Oryctolagus cuniculus: one gene and its partner. The protein of the gene in region 1 purifies or fractionates together with the protein of each later gene. This does not show direct contact. Links are inferred from orthologs where the notes say so. Each region holds a gene or a part of one and is shown on either strand. Other genes may lie near its edges. The genes, in order: SEC13 and NUP160.

Evidence for each region.
Region 2: the proteins of SEC13 (region 1) and NUP160 purify together in Homo sapiens (affinity purification with mass spectrometry; 4 studies listed by BioGRID and IntAct, counting the BioPlex papers as one, with this or other methods). This does not show direct contact. The link is inferred for Oryctolagus cuniculus from reciprocal best matches to the Homo sapiens genes SEC13 and NUP160.

What each region holds. Positions count from the first base shown.
Region 1 is NC_091441.1:116,544,616-116,549,210, reverse strand, and holds the start of SEC13 (protein SEC13 homolog), read right to left. Parts: upstream 2,873-4,595; 5' UTR 2,616-2,872; coding exon 2,613-2,615; intron 1-2,612. UniProt on the Homo sapiens protein: Functions as a component of the nuclear pore complex (NPC) and the COPII coat. At the endoplasmic reticulum, SEC13 is involved in the biogenesis of COPII-coated vesicles.
Region 2 is NC_091432.1:18,177,336-18,181,138, forward strand, and holds part of NUP160 (nuclear pore complex protein Nup160), read left to right. Parts: intron 1-583; coding exon 584-794; intron 795-1,100; coding exon 1,101-1,323; intron 1,324-2,884; coding exon 2,885-2,963; intron 2,964-3,696; coding exon 3,697-3,803. UniProt on the Homo sapiens protein: Functions as a component of the nuclear pore complex (NPC). Involved in poly(A)+ RNA transport.

The DNA of each region.
Region 1 (4,595 bases):
GAGGTCCAGCTGCAATTTCAGATGCCCAGCTGGCTGGCGCATGCTGCACCCTCAGCACCATGGTCCGCACCCCACCAGACGGGGAGCCCCCTGGAGCCACGGTCTGAGTCATCTGCACTTTTTTTTTTTTTAAAGCTTTATTTATTTATTTGAAAATCAGAGCTACACAGAGAGAGGAGAGGCAGAGAAAGAGAGAGAGGTCTTCCATCTGCTGGTTCACTCCCTAACTGACCACCATGGCAAGAGCTGGGCCCATCCGAAGCCAGGAGCCAGGAGCTTCCTCCTGGTTTTCCAACACAGGTGCAGGGGCCCAAGGACCTGGGCCATCCTCCACTGCTTTCCCAGGCCACAGCAGAGAGCTGGATTGGAAGTGGAGCAGCTGGGGCCGGCGCTGTGGCATAGCGGGTGAAGCCGCTGCCTGCGGTGCCGGCGTCCCATATGGGTGTGGGTTTGAGACCAGGCTACTCTGCTTCCGATCCAGCTCTCTGCTATGGCCTGGGGTAGCAGAAGATGGCCCAAGTGCTTGGGCCCCTGCACCCACATGGGAGACCCAGAAGAGGCTCCTGGTTTCTAATCCGAGCAGCTCCAGCCGTTGCAGCCATCTGGGGAGTGAACCAGCAGATGGAAGACCTCTCTCTCTCTCTCTCTGCCGCTCCTCTCTCTGTGTAACTGTGACTTTCAAGTAAAATAAATAAATCTCAAAAATAAAAAAAGTGGAGCAGCTGGGACTTGAACCAGTGCCCAAATGGGATGCTGGCACCACAGGTGGTGGCTCTTCCGGCTATGCCACAGCGCCCGCCTGTCACCTGCCCTCTTGAATCCCGAAAATCCCCAAGCACAGCGCTTTGTCAACAGAAGGCAGGGGCAACCGCGTGGGGAGTGAACAGTGCACACTAACGGGCAGGGGGCGCTTCCTTGGCCCAACCGCTCTTCCCTCAAACTCCTGCACAGCAGAGGGGACCGAGGAGGACGTGCTGGCTAGGGAGGGTTTCTTGGCTTGCTCAGCCCGAGAGCTCAGGCATGAAGTCTGAGGCCGTGCCCTGGGCCAGGGGCATGGGGGCCCTCGGGCATAGGTAGGCCGTCCATCCCAAGCAGGCTGCCCGCTGTGGCTGCAAAGCCTGCCTGCCGACCGACCGGCATCTCCCCACTGACAGCTTCCGCGCGGCCTTAAACCACACCCCAGGGTGGGTGCAGTCTCACCCAGAGCTGGCAGGGAAGGGGCTGTGCCCCAGGGGAGACAGACCGGCTCCAGGGGACCCCGCTATCTTGTGTGACTTCGTGGCTCTAAACCAAGCGTCGAGTTCGCTGCAGTCTCTCACCCAGAGCTAGCAGAGGAGGGGGCCGAGCCCCTAAGGAGACACGAGCCCCAAGCCGATGTGAAACCCCCGTCCACCGGCGCCCCCCAGAATGACCCAGGAACAGCCGGCAACCCGGACACTTCCTGCAAGCCCGGTGGGCTCGCGGGCTCCGCCTGCTCTCCTGTGGGACCAGGCGCTCGCTTGGTCGCTTGTCAATCAAAGTTTCTTTACTAATAAAAGTTTCTGCCTCTTTGCAAGTTGTTTCCCGGCTTTTTATCTGTCTACGAAGCTGAGGAAAAGAACGCACAAGCCCCCGGAGGCGTGGAACGAAGCCGCGAGCAGGGCGGCAGCAGGGCAGTAGAACGGGGGCCATGCGGAGCCCGCCGGGTCCCTCCGCCCACCCTGGGCTCCCAGCGTGGGCCCCGCGGGGCGGTCACCGGGGCACTGAGAGGCTCCAGGGGCCGCGTGGGTGGACGCTGGCAAACCCAGGAACCGCAGACGCCACCGAGAACGCCGCGGAGGCCAGAGCTGGCTGCAGGTCCGGCAGGGAGCGCCCCTTCCTCACCTCCCCAGCACCCACCACGGCCGCCGGGTGAGCGGAGGAGGGAGTCCCGAGAGGTAGCCGCATCCTAGGTTAGCAAAGCACCAGAGACCGCCAGCGCGCCAACCGTGGGTGCTTTAGCGGCGACCCCGACACCTGGAGCCGCCCACAGCTGAACGTCACTACGAGTTCCCGACGCTACTCAGGGTAACTCAGCACCCAGCCCCTTCACTAGGGGCCCGCGGCGTGGGCGTCCCACATGCGCGCCGGTTCGAGTCCCGGCTGCTCCACTGCCCATCCCGCTCCCGGCTGATGCCCCCAGGAAAGCAGCGGTGCACGGCCCACGTCCAGGCCACTCTCGCAGTGGATTCGCGAAGCGCCCACCACCCCGGAGGCCCACTCCGCGTGCACCTGCGCGGACTGGCGGCCGGTGGCTCACCTCCAGCGTCCCCACAAACCGCAGCTCGCGCACCGGCCCGGCAGGGCAGGCTGACCGCCGACACGCCCGGAACCACGGGCCCGGCACACGCTGGCGCCTGTGCTGTTTCGGCTTTGGTTTCCAGCGGCTGCGGGGAGCCGAGGGCAGCAGCGAGGCGCGGCCCGCAGAGTTCCAGGAGGTCCCGCGCCGCCCCTCCCGAGGGCCCGCGGGGCCCAGGCCCGGGGTCCCCGCGGCTCGAAGCGGTGCCGAGGAGCTGAGCAGCCCCAGCACGCGGGCCGAGTCCAGGAACCCAAGACGGCCGCGACACCGGCCCGAACGCGGCCCCCAGACTCACCATGGCTGCGGCGGCTGCGGCGGACCCGGGCCTCGGACGTGGCAGCTCCCGGCGGCGCCTCCAGCAGCTCACTTCCGGCGCCGGGTGAAGGCGCCGCGCCGGGCCGGGCTCCGCTGCTTCCGGGCAGCAACACGCTCGCCCCGCACGAAGGTTCCGGGCATTCCGTATCGCCCTCTCCCGGGGCCCCGCCCCTGGGGGGCGTGGCTCTGATAGCCGTGGCGATCGCGAGGGAGGGCGGACTCTGGCTGCCGTGAGGTGGCCGACGGGGTGATGCTCACTGGTCACTCCTCCGGCCCACCTTGCATGAAGCCAGGTGACTGCAGAGACTCCCCACTGCCCCTTCCTGACCCCCTGGGGCCCCGGGCGTCCATCGGGCGTAGCCGACCCTCGGGAGGGTCGCAGTGCCTCCGTGTCCTCTGTGAGAGCCCCAGCTGGACATGGTGGTGGGGGGCTCCCGCAATGCCTTGACCCGGGCAACCTCGGGCAGCCCCCCTCCCCGCCCCCGGCTTGTGGTTGTACCCAGGCTGGAGCAGGAAACAGACCCGGAGGACCTGTGGGGTCTCCCGTTCTTTAAGGGGTCAGCCCTGTCTGTGCACCTGCAGCTGTCCCCCACCCCCCCGGCCTGCCCTGGCCATCAGGTCGAGTTGCCTCTCTCTGAGCCTGACTTTGTGGCAAAGGGGGACACGGGGCCTAACTGGAACTAAAGGAATTTCTTGGTGCCCATAGGTAGGGTGGCACAGGCAACAGACCTGCACCTTGGCAGCCAGAACACCTGCCGGTGGGATGGAAGGGCTCGGTGGGGTGGTTTAGCATGGCGAGGCCGGCTCGGAGACAGCGGGGGGCCGGCCTGGGTGCTGTGCGCACTCCTGGCTTCCCCCGGCCACCGTCTGCGCTGCTCGCCCATAAGTGGGACCCGTGACACCTCTTGCACACCCCTTGTCTGCAGTGCTGGGGCCAGAAGTGTGTCTGGATTTTGGAATATTTGCACACATATAAGGGTGCTTTGCAGACGGGACCCAAGGGTGAGCCCGTAACCTGGGGGTCATTTTATAGAGCAGTTTTATTAATTCTCTGCGTCAGTTTCACGGTGTGGCATTTTCCGCGGTGGCATCGCGGTGGCACCGGAAATGTTTTGGGCCCTGGAGCGTTTCTGATCTTGGGTTTTCGGAGTGGGGACGCCCAACCCGTAAAATCCCCTCTGAAAGTTGACGTTGGGGTCAAAGGAACCTTGGCTGTGGAACCGGGTCTGGGGTTGGATGGGCCCCCTCCCGGGCAGGGGATGCCACCCACAGTGGCATCTCCCTCTGCTCAGTCCCAGACCCCAAAGCAGGCCATTCTGTCCCCTCCAGCTGGGCTTCCCCCTCCCAGCCCCACTGCCCCCAAGTCTCCTCCTCTTTCTCCTCCTTCCTCCCCCCAGTCTTCCTCTCTGAGAAGCTCAGCCAGGCCTCAAGGCCGGTTAAGCCCCCAGAGGTGGGTGTTCAAAGGTGTGACGTGGGGCGGGGAGGCAGGCAGGCCAAAGTGCCAGGTGGACTCCCAACCTGCAGGGCGGGGTGGGGTGGGGCGGAAAGAGGCGTGGGCTGTGCGCGAGTCTGCGCCTCCGCGCGTGCGTTTATTGCTATTGCTTAGTGTAGAAAAGGCAGACAAATCCCAGTGGTTACAAAGGGCACAGCCAGAGATACATAGAAACAGAGTGTACAGTAAGAGCACAGTCTCTCCCCAGCCCCGCCGGCCCCAGAGCCCCCCCGCTGCGCCCTCGCCACTCCGCTGTCAAGTCCGTGCACACCAGAGTTAGCAAGTGTGGCAAGGCCGGAGGCACGCCCGGGAGGGGAGCACCGCACTGCAGGACGAGAGGAGGCTTCGCCCCCACCAGCGTCTCCGTCTCTGAACACCAGGAGGGCGCGGTTTGGAATTAGGGAGAGCACTTCCTGGCCGTGGCCCTGGCTCTGCAAGGCCCCAAACCTTCAACACCCCCCTCCCCGTACC
Region 2 (3,803 bases), on another chromosome or scaffold:
GGAAATGAAGGAAATTTGAGATGGTGAAGCTTGGAAGGACTTTATAATCAGAACAATTTTAATAAAACAAGACCATTTGAGAGAAGCAGAAGAGATAAACTAGGAGCTAGAAGGAAAATAAACTAGTTGATTAAAAATTTTAATCTTAATTTTTGCCATAAGAAAAAGTCCCTTTCATCATTCTGGAGTAGATGGGATTGCAGCAAAAGGTAGAAAAATCTGAGTTGACAGTGGCTCATGTCATTTGGGGGTGGTGTTGTAGCACAGCTGGTTAAGTGACCACCTGCAATGCAGGCATCCAGTGGCGGAGCACTGATGCAAGTGCCGGCTGCTCTTGCTTCTGATGCACCTGGAAAGCAGCCCAAATATATTACATTGAGTAATACTCCAAATAAATGGACTGTCAGGTTTGGAAATACTTCCCTTTAACAGAATCATTTGACTGTTGTTATGCTGTGTTTTGTAACTACATAATATGGCGATGTAGAATATGAACGTGATCTGAGTTTGCATATCTAAAATTTTCAAATTCGGAGTGTTCACTTGGGCAGTTTTTTTTAAACAAATGCCTCTCTCTTAACAGGAAGACCTCTGGAGATACATTGGAGCTGGTGGAGGAGTCATTGGACATAAATCTGTTGAATAATGCAGTTCGTCTCAAATTCCAAAATTGCAGTGTCCTGCCTGGAGGGGTCTATGTCTCTGAGACTCAGAATCATGTGGTAGTCTTGATACTAACCAATCAAACAGTGCACAGGTTACTCTTCCCGCACCCTTCCCGGATGTACAGAAGTGTAAGTTGGTTCAGTGTAATATCTTTTATTTCCCAGATTACTCTGGCTGTCCCAGATTTAGTGCTCGAGCAATATCCTTTGGAACAGAAGGAAATGTGGGTTGCTTGTTAGCCCTCACCGACCATACTTTGATAGTTGCTATTCAAAATGACCAGACACATTTTAAGTTGAAGAAATAGTTTTCATTTTTAAAAAAATGTTTTTCTTCTTAAGCTCAATATTTTCTTCCTTTAAAAACATTTTCTTAACAGAGAGCAACATGAGTGATTTTGATCTAACAGATTTTTCTTTCTAATTGCTCCGCAGGAGTTGGTAATTGAAAGTCAGATGCAGTCAGTGTTCACTGACATTGGCAAAGTTGACTTCAGGGATCCTTGCAACTATCAGTTAATCCCAACGGTTCCTGGGCCAGCTCCTAATTCTGCCGCCTCAGCAGCCTGGCTTAGCAGTGATGGAGAGGCTCTGTTTGCACTGCCGTCTGCTTCTGGGGGCATCTTTGTTCTTAAACTACCTCCTTATGACATGCCTGGTAAGAATGGGAACTAAGCATGATTCCACTTTGAACAAGGACTGTTGCCATTTAAACAGACTTTTCAAGTTCTGCCCACGGTCCAGTGCACGCAGGTGCTTCTGTAGTATCCCTAAATTGTTCCTTCATCGCTAATTGCGCTAATGAATCTCTAATGCTTTCTTTTGTGTGTGTGTGTGTGTGTGTGTGTATGTGTGTGTGTGTTTTGACAGGCAGAGTGGACAGTGAGAGAGAGAGAGAGACAGAGAGAAAGGTCTTCCTTTTGCCGTTGGTTCACCCTCCAGTGGCCGCCATGGCTGGCGCGCTGCAGCCGGTGTACCGCGCTGATCTGAAGCCAGGAGCCAGGTACTTATCCTGGTCTCCCATGGGGTGCAGGGCCCAAGCACTTGGGCCATCCTCCACTGCACTCCTGGGCCACAGCAGAGAGCTGGCCTGGAAGAGGGGCAACCAGGACAGAATCCGGCGCCCCGGCTGGGACTAGAACCCGGTGTGCCGGCGCTGCTAGGTGGAGGATTAGCCTATTGAGCCACAGCGCCGGCCTCTTTTGTGTTTTAAGAGAGCAAGATTTTATGTCATAAAGTAGCTTATTTGATGTCCTTTAGTGTAGGTGAGTTGACTAGTTGTCTACCATCAGATTGAGGTGTTGTAATTAAATTAATTGAAATAAGTTTGACTGCTGAGACCCCACTCCAAGTCATCACTAGCTCCTGCCTGAATTCTTGCTTTATAGTTTCCTATATATCTCCTTGTACCTGTCCTTAACCCCCCTCAGCAACTTGTCAGGCAGACTGGGAGATTTAAAACCCAAGTTGGGTCCTGTCTGCGTTGCTCAAAGCTATCAGATGACGGTTGTTCTTCATCTCACTCTGAAAAACTCCAGCGTCCTTCCAGTGGCTTCCAGTGAGTTCCCCACTGCTGCCTCGAGTGTCTTTCTCTGCACCTGCTACATGCCCTCTTGCAATGCCTTGAACAAGCCAATGACATTCCTACCTCAGGGCCTTTGCCTGGGATAGCCAGTGCTAGCTTAAGACTTCAAGCAGTGTCACTTCAGAGAGACTTTCCCTGACTACCCTTTTCAAAATTGTAAGCACTTAACCACCACACACCGACACACCCAAACATTTTCTAGACTCCATTCCTGTTTTATTTTCTCCACTTATTATCAAGCTACCTAATTTGTCTCTGCCATGAGGACAGGGGTTGTGTGTTTTATTATTGTTATTTTGTTCACAGCTCTGTCTCCAACACCTAAAACTACTTGGCACATGAAAGATACCCAGTGATTATTTTGGAAAGCATGAAGCTGATTCTGTTTAGTGGCATTATGGGTTACTCCCTATAAATGAGAAATTTTCTCTGGGATTCTAAAAATAGTATTTTTATTGATCCAGTCGTGATTCAGAATATTATAGATGTGATGTATAGGTAAGGTACATCATACAAGTGTTAGCATAGAAATATAGAAGCCCATCACCTTATAAACACCTTGTTTATGGTTCCATCACTCTCGCCTTCGGTTCTCTCTGAGTCTGCTCATGAGGTGTCTTGGGTATCATTGCAGGGATGGCGTCCGTTGTGGAACTGAAACAGAGTTCAGTAATGCAGCGATTGCTTATCGGCTGGATGCCAACAGCTATCAGGTGAGTGGTATCTGACAGCTCGGGCGGGGTTCCCCATTTAGTCTTTCTGCCCTGGTCAGCATCAGTTAGTGCTTCCAGTTTTATTCCAAGGGAAACACTCTAACGGGAAAGAGAAGTCTGCATAACATCATGTCCCACCTGAGGAAAACCTCCCTTCAGAGTCTACTTCATTTGCCATTAGACACCTTGCAGAAGCTGGCTTCATGTTTATTCTCATGATGTGCACTTTGGCGCTCTGCCCTGACTTAATCAAATCTGCTTTTGAGCAAAATCATTAAAAATAGAAAGTTTTTGATGATTAGAATACAAAAAGGAATAGTATACAGTTGTTAGACAGTCTTAATTTTTTTTTTAAGTTAATTTATTTGAAAGGCAGAGTTACAGAGAGGCAGAGAGAGAGAAGTCTTCCATCCGCTGGTTCACCCCCCAGATGGCCACAACGGCTAGAGCTGTGCTGATCCAAAGCCAGGAGCTTCTTCTAGGTCTCCCACACTGATGCAGGGGCCCAAGCACTTGGGTCATCTTCTGCTTTCTCAGCCCATAGCAGAGAGCTGGATCAGAAGTGGAGCAGCTGGGACTTGAACCGGCACCGTTATGGGATGCCAGCACTGCAGGCGGCAGCTTTACCTGCTACGAGTTATCTCTACAAGTTATCTTGTATCTTTTGAATTGAAAACTGTAATGATCAGATTATTTGCAACAGTGAAACTGCAATTTTGCCTTCTGCTTCCAGGGGTGATCAGAGCCCTTCAGATCGAGCCCTGAGTCTTGCTGTCCATTGTGTTGAGCATGATGCGTTCATCTTTGCTCTGTGTCAGGATCATAAACTGCGAATGTGGT